Linked DNA regions of Arabidopsis thaliana. The protein of the gene in region 3 interacts with the protein of the main gene of each other region in a pairwise test. Each region holds a gene or a part of one and is shown on either strand. Other genes may lie near its edges.

Region 1 (3,742 bases), on a different chromosome or scaffold from region 3:
GCCACCTCCGACGGAAAGATACGTCAAACGTGGTCAAGAGCCCATGCAACAATCTAGCCTAAAAAATATTTTAAAATAATAATAATAATAATAATCAAACCTTTTCCTTATAAATTTAATTAATAAAAATTAATTGGTAAATTGCTGATTTATGTTGATATTATTTATATATATTGTAGATTATAAATATAAATGATATTCTTATATTTTAAAAAGACAATAGAACGTTACAAGTTTGAATAATAAATTTTGACCGGTAAATTGATGGTTTGTGTTGATATCATTACGTATTATATATTATTGACAAAAAACATAAATACTGATATTTTTAGATTTTAAAATTTGAAAATAGAACGTTATAAATTTTAACTAGTAAGTTGGTTGTTTGTGTTAATATCGTTTGTATTATATAAAATCGACAAAAAAATAAACGATATTTTAATTTTTCAAAAGGTAATAGAACGTTGTAAGTTTAAATAATAAATTTGACTGATAAATTAGCAGTTTGTGTTAATATCATTGTATAGATTATATATTATTGACAAAAAACGTATATGACATTTTGGATTTTTAAAAAGATAATAGAACATTATAAATTTTAATGGTAATATCGTTGTCCATATTATATATTATCGACAAAGGTTCTAAAAAAGACAATACAATCTTGAAAAGTTTTTTTCTAACGCCTTATAACGGTTACTTTATTTAATTTAGTTCTCTATAATTTTATATTAAATGAATATTATCAAATAATTTAAATTTATATCAAATTATAACAATAGTAGTATAATTTTTTTTGTTTCAGTTAACTTGAAATCCTTAACTCTAAATTTCAAACGTTAAATTCTTAGAAAATATACCATGAATATAAAAGTTGAAATTCTAAACTCATAAATCATAAAATTTAACTCACAACAAAAATATATTTTACTCTAAAATATAAACTAATTCACCATAGTCGAATATAGGTATGCAACAACAGAAAGAATATAGGTATAGACAGACTGAATAGTGGCTGAAATTATTGGGGACATAAAAAACATATCCAACCTATGGCCTTAATATGTGTAAGAGTTTGGTTCTAATAAGATTTCGAAAAGTCAAGAAATATATGAAGGATATGTTCTTGTTTTATCTTTTTTGCTAAAGGGATATAGATTGGTGTTAAACACATAATACTAATGGTGGTTTACTCTAAATACCACATTCGTACCAATACCTACTTCATTAAATATCTTTGACGTGCCCAATAAAAAAGAGAAGACGAAGTGCATTAAATACATGGTTCATCAATGCGTGTAGTTAATTGAGTAATTAATTGAATTTGAACGTAAGACTAAGAAAAATTTGAAAATTATGATTACAACAAGTAGAGAGAGAGGAGTATGACAAGGGGTAAAATATGTAATTTAATGGATAGAAGCTTGAATCTACTTGTAGTTTCCATGCATTTAATGCGTTTTATTTTCTTAGCATTTATTACACTTTGTGTCTGCTTCCTCCTTGAATTCCTCCCTCCACACCTTTTCTTTGGCCTTTTTGCTGTTAATTTGTTACTCTTATTTATTTATTCATTTAATACTTATGTTGGCAACAACAAAAAAAAGAGTTTGAAAGTTTAGTTCGTCGATGAAAAAGATGATTCATAAAGTTCTGAATTATGGGTTTGATGATATTTACCTTAGCCTTTTTCCACTTAGGCATGAATGGAATGGGTACAATCTCCAGTTTATAAACGTATGACAAAAATATGAAATATGAAATGATTCATATACTATCTTTCACAGATTGTAAGGTGTAGAATACAAAATTACACATGAAATTAAATCTTTCACGGTAGACAAAAGATGGTACAACAATAAAGAATTTCCATGCAAACAAAAGTATCCTAGTATATTCACAATAAATGAAAGAAATTAATTGGCTATAAATTTACTACTTATAACCGTCCTCGTAATTAACTTTGAGAGTAGAAGGCTCTGTTTTTCTTACAATGGCCCCATCTATATAACTCTCTCTCTGCCTAACAGACCCCATAACTGACCTCCCCTCTCTCTCTCTCTTTCTCTCTGCTTTCTTGGTATGGCTGCTGACGTCAGCTCTCTCGTACGGATACTGAGTAGGTTCAAGGATGATCGGACGGTTGTAAAAGATTCCACCGGACCAAGATCCACGGTGGCGCTCATGACACGCGATCTCCTCGGAATCGGCGGTTGTGTGGGTGGAGGAGGAGGAGGAGACGAACAGTCGCTGGAGCTTGACCTTGACGTCCAAGTCCCTAACGGATGGGAAAAACGTCTCGACTTAAAGGTTCGTCGCTATTTTCTTTCTTCTTGATTTTTGTAGTTTCGTGTTCTCGAGAGAATTTGGAGATAAGAAACTAACAAAACAGAGAGGTTTCCAAAGATTTGAATGATTTATAGATTCGTTGTGATTTTTTTGAACAGTCAGGGAAAGTGTATCTGCAACAACAATGCAATTCAACGAGCTCGTCATCATCGTCTCATCATCATCATCATCATCACGAAGACCAAACCAACCAAACAGTTCCAAGATTTCAAGATTTGAATGTGCCACCGATTTCCGATAAGTTTCCGGCGAAACCATTGTTAAGCCTCTTCGACGATGACGACGACACAAGCCTTGAACTGAAGCTAGTTCCGTCTTCTATCTCTCGTCCTCTTCCTCCTCCTCTGTCTTCTTTTTCTCCAAATCAGTCTCTCTCGTATCTATCGAGTGTTTGCACACTAGATAAGGTGAAATTGGCTTTGGAAAGGGCGGAGAAAGATACAAAGAAACGCCAATCTCCTGAAGATGACGGCGTTTACGATGGAACCGCTTCTGCCACCGTCGCGGCGTCTCAGGTGGCGGCTGGATGTCCAGGGTGCTTATCGTACGTGTTTGTGGCAAAGAACAATCCGAAATGCCCGAGGTGTCATTCGTTTGTTCCTTTGCCTGCCATGAAGAAGCCTAAGATTGATCTTAACATTTCGATGTGAAAAAAACTTTGGGGGATAGAATTGAATGGTTTTATTTTGTAGGTTCGATTTCTGTAAATGATAGATAAAATCAGGGGGTTTCATTGAAAAGAAATTAAATGCAGAAAGGAAGAGATGGATGTTATTTTGTAAATTGTTATGTAATGGATTTTCTCTGATGAATGAATAGTTGATCTTTAATTATTTGAAAAACGCTCTAATTAATTAGATACTACTAGAGAGTAAGAGGTAACCAAATTATACTCTTATATTATTTGGTCAACATATTTCATTATATTTACTTCAACTGTACTGGTATTTATTCCGCATCTTAAAGAACCCAATGTTTTTATTTGTCATATTAAGGAAGCAACTTAAGTCACGGGTTAGTTCAAAGTTAGTTGGAGAAATTTATATAAGTTACTTTATTATTCTCTCTGTTTCGAGATATATTTTAGTATATGTTTAGTTTTTATACATGATGTATACTGTATAAAAACTTATTTGCAATTACAAAGTGTATACCATTGTTTGTATATTCATATTATTTAGAAAATTTCTTTAGTATTAAATTAGGTGTAAACTAAAAGGTAAAATAAAAAACATTCAATGAAAAAAAAAATCTAATTTCTGAAACGAGAAGAAATATTCCACAACATCTAGTATTTGAAACGGATGGAGTATTTTGAAAATCATATTCTTATACAAAATGCACACGCTTGCAGCCTTAAACAATCTGGCTTGATTCTTTTATTTTAGTGTAA
Region 2 (4,912 bases), on a different chromosome or scaffold from region 3:
ATAGTGAAACTGCCATCACAACTTTCAGCTTCTGCTTCTCCTGAGGCGGGTAAGACACATCATCTCTGCTCAGACCAGGGCTCGAGAACTCTGGCATCAAGTTCAATCTCAACATCAACTTCAGCAACAACAACATCAAACCCTTATGGTCTCTCTTCAGGATGTGAATACTTCATAGTGACAATAGCAATGCTTCCTGACACTGCTATTCATCAACAAGCTTCCTGATCCTTTTGCTTGTTCCTAAGGCAGCAGATAGACGTGATGGAAGAAACCCCCTCCCCCCAAAAAAGAACAAAAAATGTAAATACTTTGAATTCAAATAACACAATCTAAAACCAGACAGCCCCTTTATATGATTTGTGGGTTTCATTTGTCTCTTCTTTAACTTTCTTTTATTTTCATATCTTTCTTCTTTATGTACAGCTGATGATCACTGATCTTAGTTTAATCTTTTCTCCTTGTATTGTACATACTCTGCTATAATTTGAATGCTGTAATAAAAAGATTACTAAATATTACGAGAAAATAAAAAAGTTTTAGGATAAATAATGGAATCTTTTGCCTCTGCCAACTTTGGTTTATATTGGGAATAATATACAGAAATTAATCATCAAAACATGTTTCTTCAAATCCCTGTGGGGGTTGTAGTTACCAAGTGATAATTTTGATTTACAAGAAAAAAAAAACAGAAAAGCTACTAGTCCAGGTTCCTATACTTGCCAAATCCAGAAAAGAAAGGCGGTATCTATAAATTATCTATTATATGCATCACCATCTTCTTCTGAAATGTTGGACAAGAACTTTGGCAAGGATGTGATCCGGGGGAGGTGTAATAGCAAATCGCTGAATGAGTCTTTCCTTAACATACCCTGTGGTTTGCTGCTAGAAGCTGTATCAAGAACTCTGTTGTTGTTGTTGTTGTTGTTGTTGTTGTCAGAAACAATTCCCTTGGGTTCAGACTTCAATCCAACCGACATTTCGGTATTGAGCTGTGAGTTTGCAGCGACGTTGGGATCCTTGTACAAGAGGTTGAATAAAGAGTTAACCCTTGGCATGAGAGACTTCTCATCTGGTGCCTCGAACTGGATATTATCACTTAGCAACTGCTGTTTCATGATCTCAAATTTCTCCATATGTTCCGGATGACTTCCACCAGCAGAATCAGAGAGAAGTCCAACGAAATCGCTCACTGACATAGATTGGTGTAGTCCAGGTACTTTTATCTGATCTGAATCAGTTATGTTTCTTGAATCAGATAAATATGCAACGAAATCACTAACTGACATAGATTGGTGTAGTCCATCTACGTCGTCAGCCAGATTCAAATCCGTTGTGTTTTTTGTATCACAGAGAACCGCAAGGAAATCACTCAGTGACATAGATTGGTGTATTCCAGGTGCTTCGATCTGACCACAATCTGTTCTGTTTCTTGAATTGACTGCTTCAGAACCCCCAATTCCTTCATTTGCACGAGCATCTATCACTAGAGATGAACGAAGCAAACAAACAGAAATATAAATCCACAATCCTAATCAGGTTCAACAAAAGTGAAAATGAAAAATTATATTCTAATAACGAGTTATGAAAGCAACTAGAATGAGCGAGCAGTCATCATAATACCTGAGCTGGGTGATGGTGCTTCATGAGACAGATACATATGCTCAGATGATGACTGAGCCCCAACAGGAGATGCTAAATTCTGAGTCCCAGAGATCGAAGGACCTGTACTAAGATTCAAATTCCCAAAAGGATGGCCTTTTGATTCACTTGGATCCTCAAAAATAGATTGCCGTGCATCAAAGTAGGGAGAGTCAATAGCTATCTCCGGCTGTCGGCTTAGATGGAACAGACGATGATCACATTGAACGAGCTTTTCAAAATGTTTGTTCATTATCCCTTGAGCACATTGCAGAAAATGCTGCCTAACAGATCACAGGGAGACTATCGTTAGCTGAAGCTAGGACATCACCAAATTTATTCAGAAAAAATTTACATGAAATGCCTGTACCTGTTCATGCTGGCTTGGCCATCAGTGAAATCTGATGTCGCCTGCCACAAGGTATGCTTTCTAGGCTGTGGGTTTGTTTCCCGGAAAAATAAGGGCTGTCTAGCAAGCTGAAACATAAAGAGTCAAATCATTAAAGTTGAACAAGAGTGATATGTTGAGCAAAAGAAAAGAACATGAGTGAATGTTATACCACGAGAGTCAAAGTTCCAGGTCCGTCTTCAGGACAGTTTGCCTTCAAAGCCATAATATCTGACCACTGGATCTCGATTTTACTCTTAAGACCTTGTTCCAACACTTCCCAAACAAGTTTGTGTTTAGCAAAGTAACACTTTGCCACCAAATCACCTTCATACCTCGATTTATACTGCACAAAAAAAGAAACCAAGTCAAGTCAGATTTTGAAACCACCATGAAAACATATCAAAACGAAACATTTCGCAGGACTCACCTCCCACTGCCCGATCTTCAAAAGCGAAGCAGGAAAGTTAGAAGCTTTCAGCTTCTCAATACTTCCTGGCGCCAAAGTCGGTCCAACTGATGCAGCAGCAGCAATAGTTTTACTTTCTCTCTTAAGACCAGAGCCAAGTGCACCAGCTTTCAACGTTTCAGCTGCTTTAGGATCACCACAATGCGTTATCTTCATCTGAATCAACTCCAACAAAGATGGACTCTTCTTAAGACTCAATCCAAGAGGACTCGGCTCATCAAGCGGGTTATACTTAGCTGGTGCCATTGTCGATGAGCTTGTCCCAGGACTCCATAACTAAATTCAATGCAACAATCAATAATTAAAAAAAATACATCACCAAACAATTCACAACCAGCTAAATATAAAACCATCACTGCATGCTAAGAATTGCTATTGAATTATCGCAGAAACTGAATTAGATCAGCTCATCTGAGAAGAAAAAAACAAAAGGAGAGAAATAAACAAACCCTAGATCGTTTGTTGAGAGGACCATGCTCTTCTTCTAAATCATCTTCAGCAATCTCCAATTTCACCGGTAGCTCATCTCGGCACCTGGCCGCCGATTCAGACTCCGGTCTTAAACCTCCAGATTTCCTCATTTCCACCATCCCCCGAAAAAACAAACCTTTCCTTCTCAAAAACTCAAATTCAGACAAAATTCGGATAACCCACAAACGAAATCACGAAATTATTCCACAAAAGGATTTATTTATCTGGAACGCGAAAGAGAATCAAAAGCAAACCCTAGAAATCAGAGTATAAAACATTTACGGGATCTCTCTCTTTGATTGTGTAAAAAAAGGATTCTCCTGGCGGCTATCGACGCGCGTATACCGCGATTTCACCGACACGCGCTATCGTTATTTTGACTCCGAATGCTGCTGAAATTCCCAAATTAGCCACCATGTTATGCCTATGGAAAGAGGGCTAAACTTGTCATTTCTTATGTTTATTAAATATTTTAGTTAATTCGCTGGCGAACAACCAGTAGTTCTTGATTTATAGGGTGTAGGGTCCCACAATTTTTTTTATGACGGCTACAGATAGAGTATTTGCCACGTGTTACTCGTCTTCCTTTTGCCTTTAATTAACTAGGGAGGAGACACGCGCGTTGGTGGTTTGTTTTTGGTTTTGTTAGTATGTAATTATAACTTCGATTTTTTTTACTGATCTTTGATTAAAAGGTGAATATCTTTGTTATTTGCTAATCTTATTTTTTGATTTCTACATTTTTGTAATCTATGTATAGTTTTACATTTTTTTTTCATATTGTTACCAGTTATATGCTAGAATTTATAGGACAATAGACCAAACTTACTATCTTGTAAGAATATTTTTTAGAGTTATATATATCTAAGCAATGCATTTGTTACATTGGTCTTGTTTTTATATATTTTATTTTAAATTAAAAATACAATGGAAATCTCTCTCTCTCTCTCGTATTAAGCGGTTGCTGCAGAGGATAGCGAAGAACAGAGACTAACGACGAAGTTATTTTACACATCGTTGCCATTGTTAATTTTGGCCCAATATGAACCCGCCCATTTGTTTTTTCTCTTTGTGTCTCTGTTAAAATCTTAGAAACTACTCTTTGGTTTTGGGAAGATTTCACTTTTCAACGTCTCTTCGCGAATTAGCCAAAAAGAGTTGGATTATAACAATATTAACATTGAAAGTACGATATGCTTAGATAATTAATTAAAAGTTTGATTTTATTGTAAATATAAATTTCCTTACAACAGCAAGGAAAGACACACATTAAAGCAAAAGAAATAAGAGTAATAACTTTGTTTTGAGTCTTTGTGATAGTTCACTGCTCAAACATTATAGGGAATTTTTTAAAAACAGTTTCCAACTCTCTAAATGTTTTGTTTAAGTTATACCATAAAAATAAACTTAAACATTTGTTTGTAGAAAAAACATTTCTCACATGTGTTGTCCAAATCTCTTGGATGGCACACGTCGGGGGGTTTCATGTTGCGAAGTGATATCATGTACAATCTTTTTCTCGCCACTCTAATCCCATTTAGTGAAGTTTTGATTTGTTTCCAACACGTTTCAGCCATGGTGGTGTCTTTAGCCCATTCAAGTTGGCTCATATAGGTTTTTCCCTCTTCAGTCCTTCCTCTACATAATAATAGCATGACATACATGTAGATTGCTGGCCTCCGTTAGCTGCTATGCCAATATGGTGGAGACCAACGTCACAATGATCAAGGTTAAAGTACCATATTATACCTTTTATGTAGTGAGCTTAGTTTTTCTATAAATAGAGAGGCATGGAAAAAAGGAGGAAGAAATCCATATTAAAACGTCTTCAAGCTCCTCAGCTCGTTCTCTAGCTCCTCAGCTCGTCCTCAAGGTACTCAGATCGCCATCAAGCTCCTCAGCTCGTCCTCAATCTCCTTAGCTCGTTCTCAAGCTCCTCTGCT
Region 3 (4,037 bases):
AATCAGCTTCGTGAGAACATTCTTGGTACTGTCATGAATGAAGAACAATTCCACTTGGCCAGGAAAATCAAAGAGAATGTAATGATCTGCAAACAATTCAAAACGTTTTACTTTAAGAAAGAGATATTATGACCACGAAAAGAAGAAGAAGAAGAAGGGACATATCGTTGCTAACCCTTCAGAAGAGGCTTTAGTTTAGATTCCAGCCAGTCAATGTTTTTCTCCAAGTACTCCATACAATATACAAGACCTGTCACATTAGAAAGTTTCTTTGTTAATTTGACCAAAGATTAAAATCAAAAGTAAGAAGAAAAGGGAAAATCAAGATGGCAAAATTCACCTCCATTAGGACCAAGCGAGTGTTCCGACATAACATCTTCTAACTTGATCAATTCTTCTATATTCACACCACACTCATAACTAAAATCAATGTCAAGAAACAACATACACCTGCAATTTTTAACAATTTTGTTGTATTTGGCTTGAAAAGGATACGGTAATGCATCATTTGCAGGATCCAGATTAACAATAGCAACCTTCCTGCAACAACAACAAAATAGTAACTCAACGTTAAGAGAATTTACTTACAGAGAAGTTCTCACGAATCTGCAAATCTCTCTACCAAAAACAAAGACAAGGCAACAACATTTCACAATGACTCTGCTCAAAAGTCAGACAATTCAAATTTCTGGAATTCAACACTATTATTTACTAAAGTTTGCAACTTGTAAACTTTACAATGCGAGGGACAGCGAAACAATCAATACAAACAGAATTACAGATACAAAAGCCAAGTAAGCTTCATTCTTTGATCCAAAAAGAGAAGAGAAGAGAAAGAACATGAAACCTGCCCATTAGAGAGAGGAACTGAGACATTCCATTGCAATAAGTGGTCTTTCCCGATCCTGGAGGACCTATTACTACTTGTCCAAACACCATGCTTCTGAAGACGAAGAAGAAGATTGATACCAATCGGAGTCAAACACGTTGTATAATATCAGAGCCAGTCAGACAAAAAAACACAGTAATTGCAAAGCAAAATCATCTAATCATCAAACTAACATAACATGAATATTCAATAGAGAACATCAAAACCCTTCTAAACACTGAGCTCGTAGCACAATAGAAATCGGAAATGTCATTTGTTCGTCGGACACAGAATACAAACACAATCCTCCAATATTATTAACCCAATTCCTAAACCTCGTTTATAATACAACAAACAATTCACTGGAGAAAGAGAAGCAGAGAAACAATTTGCTTCAAGAGCATATTCATTATATCAGAAGCAACTGGAGACACAGAAGAAAATAAATAGAGAAGCTCGCCTGTGTAGTTAGCCGGAGAGAGAAGCAATGACAGGTCTGTTTGCCGGAGCAAGAGAAACTCGCAGCCGGAGACTCGTCGAAGACTCGATTCAAGGCGAAGTAAGCTCGCCGAAGACTCGATCGGTATATTTAAATTAGGGCTTTAATTTTAATTCGGTTTATTCGTGCTATACTCGAACCGAACCGGATAATCGAAATTAAAAAGAAGGAAACGATCAAGTTATTATTGGAGTATCCGAACCCAAACCGAAAAGTGAATTTCGGGTCGGTTTGTTTTCGGATAAGTTACCAAGGCCTAATAAATTGGTAAACCGTAAACCGATGCATCAGGGTTTAAAATGTAACAAAATAATATTTTAGGTGACAATTAAAAACGTAACAATAAAACAAGGGGTTATATTCGAAACGTTTGCACCTAACCTTATAACTTCGCATTTTTATACTCTGTTCTGATCGCAGCAAAGCCGACGTTGAACTTTCTCGCCGCCGGAGCGCGTGATCTCCACTCTCTGTCATCGAATCACTCTAATTGAAGATTCTCCGATGGCGATTGTCTATGCTGTTGTAGCGAGAGGTACCGTGGTATTAGCTGAATTCAGCGCCGTTACGGGAAACACAGGCGCCGTGGTGCGACGGATCCTCGAGAAGCTTTCACCGGAAATCTCCGATGAAAGACTTTGTTTCTCTCAAGATCGTTATATCTTCCATATTCTTAGATCTGATGGTCTTACCTTTCTCTGTATGGCCAATGATACCTTTGGAAGTAAGTATTTTTCACTTTCTCCGAATCGTAATCTCTCTTAAGAAGATTTAGTCTTTGTAATTGATTCTGAGTTTTATGTTTTGATGTGTTGGTGATTGGATTTTCAGGGAGGGTTCCATTTTCGTATTTGGAAGAGATTCATATGAGATTCATGAAAAACTATGGCAAAGTGGCTCATAATGCTCCAGCTTATGCAATGAATGATGAATTCTCAAGGGTTTTGCATCAGCAGATGGAGTTCTTCTCTAGTAATCCTAGTGTTGATACTCTCAATCGTGTTAGAGGAGAAGTCAGTGAGGTATAATTGTTTCTTCGTATGATCTCTAGATATTACTCAGCTATATCCATTGAAAAGGTTGAATTTTTATGAGTTATTACGCCTTCTTGGCTCACACAGGCTTCTTTAAATCTGTCTTGGGTGAAAGATGAAGTTTGTTATCTCATTGTTGTGTTATCGTGTTTACAGATTCGATCGGTCATGGTAGAGAACATTGAGAAGATAATGGAAAGAGGTGATAGGATTGAGCTTCTTGTTGATAAAACAGCAACAATGCAAGATAGCTCGTTTCACTTCAGGAAGCAATCTAAGCGCCTTCGCCGAGCTCTTTGGATGAAAAATGCTAAGCTCCTGTAAGGATCTCTCTCACTTCTAGATTCTCTTCATTCCTTTTCTTTGCTAACTAAGAGATACGCTCTTCTACATTCTAGGTGTTTCAACTCGCCTTTGCAGCATAGTTTATTGATATGTTTCTTAAACTAGAGATACAGTAGTTCTAAGATTCAACATTATTTTCGATTTTGGGAAATTCTCCTCGACAAAATATCTAATTTTTGGCTGATAGGAACTACACTGCCTTGATTCCACCTCTGCTTAAAGAAATTTCATTATTGTTTTGTTTTGATGCTTGAGTTCCAGATCACTTTTATTAATCAACAAAACTGCTTTTCTTGTTTGTGTTCGGCAGGGTCTTGTTGACATGCTTGATAGTTTTCTTGCTGTACATAATAATCGCATCTTTCTGCGGAGGAATCACTTTACCATCATGCAGATCTTAAAATCTGGCGGCCTTATCTAAGGTATACTGAAACGGACCACTGTTTTTGTAAATCAACTCAGTCGCATCATTTCGATTTGAAGCCTTGGTTTTGTCATGAAAATGACTGTGAGTTTGAAGTTACATGTCATGGTCCTCCTTGCTTATGTAACTCTTGTAAATGTCAAAATCAAAATGATACAGAGGTTCATTGAACTCTTGCCTTGTCTTTTAGATTTAGTCACGTGAGTGAGTTTGTTCTCTGTATTTCCAAAACTTTATCCGCTGTGTCTTTATAATTTTTGCATTTGCAATGTACATCACATATTCGTTATTTTTGTTGTTAAAATTACTTCAGTTTTCATCTTTGTTTAATAACATTTCTGATTCACAAATATCTGTTTCCATCATTTCTGTCTATGTTTTCATTAACTAAATCATATTAGTTGCTACTACCTTTTTAGCAAGTTTGTCATAACTTGTTACGACTTTATATATGTCATCGATACAGTTTAATCCTGCCTGTACTGATGAACACAGTATGAATATAACCAGAATGCTTAGCACTTGTAGTTGGAAATAAACTCTTACATCCAAAAAATTACGAGAAACAATAGAGTGAAATAAACAGCTACATAGTTGTCTTAGCTGTATTGATAGTCGGGCACTACACATGCATCGGAACAAATGTATCCAGTATATGGATCACAAAGCTTTAGAATGATAGGAGCTCTGCATCTGGAGTGACATTTTGCACAGAAGGGGCGAGAACTATAGCTGTTAAGAACCACTTCAACTCTAACATTATTGTAGTTGATGATGCGTCCTGGCATGAGACGTGAAAAGTCTCCAAGCACACATTCAATATGTGCAGTAACCACACATTTAGAGCAAGTGTAGAACCACTTACTT

Evidence for each region.
Region 1: the proteins of VAMP714 (region 3) and AT1G16500 interact in a two-hybrid assay, tested with the Arabidopsis thaliana proteins (one large-scale study listed by BioGRID).
Region 2: the proteins of VAMP714 (region 3) and AT4G30780 interact in a two-hybrid assay, tested with the Arabidopsis thaliana proteins (one large-scale study listed by BioGRID).

What each region holds. Positions count from the first base shown.
Region 1 is NC_003070.9:5,636,997-5,640,738, forward strand, and holds AT1G16500 (filamentous hemagglutinin transporter), read left to right. Parts: upstream 1-1,782; 5' UTR 1,783-2,082; coding exon 2,083-2,310; intron 2,311-2,447; coding exon 2,448-2,999; 3' UTR 3,000-3,206; downstream 3,207-3,742.
Region 2 is NC_003075.7:14,988,699-14,993,610, reverse strand, and holds AT4G30780 (ATP-dependent DNA helicase), read right to left. Parts: upstream 3,326-4,912; 5' UTR 3,089-3,325; coding exon 2,948-3,088; intron 2,775-2,947; coding exon 2,460-2,774; intron 2,376-2,459; coding exon 2,202-2,375; intron 2,119-2,201; coding exon 2,012-2,118; intron 1,926-2,011; coding exon 1,624-1,925; intron 1,487-1,623; coding exon 756-1,486; 3' UTR 526-755; downstream 1-525. Other genes in the region: AT4G30790 (autophagy-like protein), read left to right, coding at 1-228.
Region 3 is NC_003076.8:7,403,489-7,407,525, reverse strand, and holds VAMP714 (vesicle-associated membrane protein 714), read left to right. Parts: upstream 1-1,642; 5' UTR 1,643-1,871; coding exon 1,872-2,091; intron 2,092-2,198; coding exon 2,199-2,389; intron 2,390-2,557; coding exon 2,558-2,721; intron 2,722-3,056; coding exon 3,057-3,147; 3' UTR 3,148-3,522; downstream 3,523-4,037. Other genes in the region: QQT1 (P-loop containing nucleoside triphosphate hydrolases superfamily protein), read right to left, coding at 1-86, 176-250, 341-420, 496-540, 848-939; AT5G22355 (Cysteine/Histidine-rich C1 domain family protein), read right to left, coding at 3,770-4,037. UniProt on the Arabidopsis thaliana protein: Involved in the targeting and/or fusion of transport vesicles to their target membrane.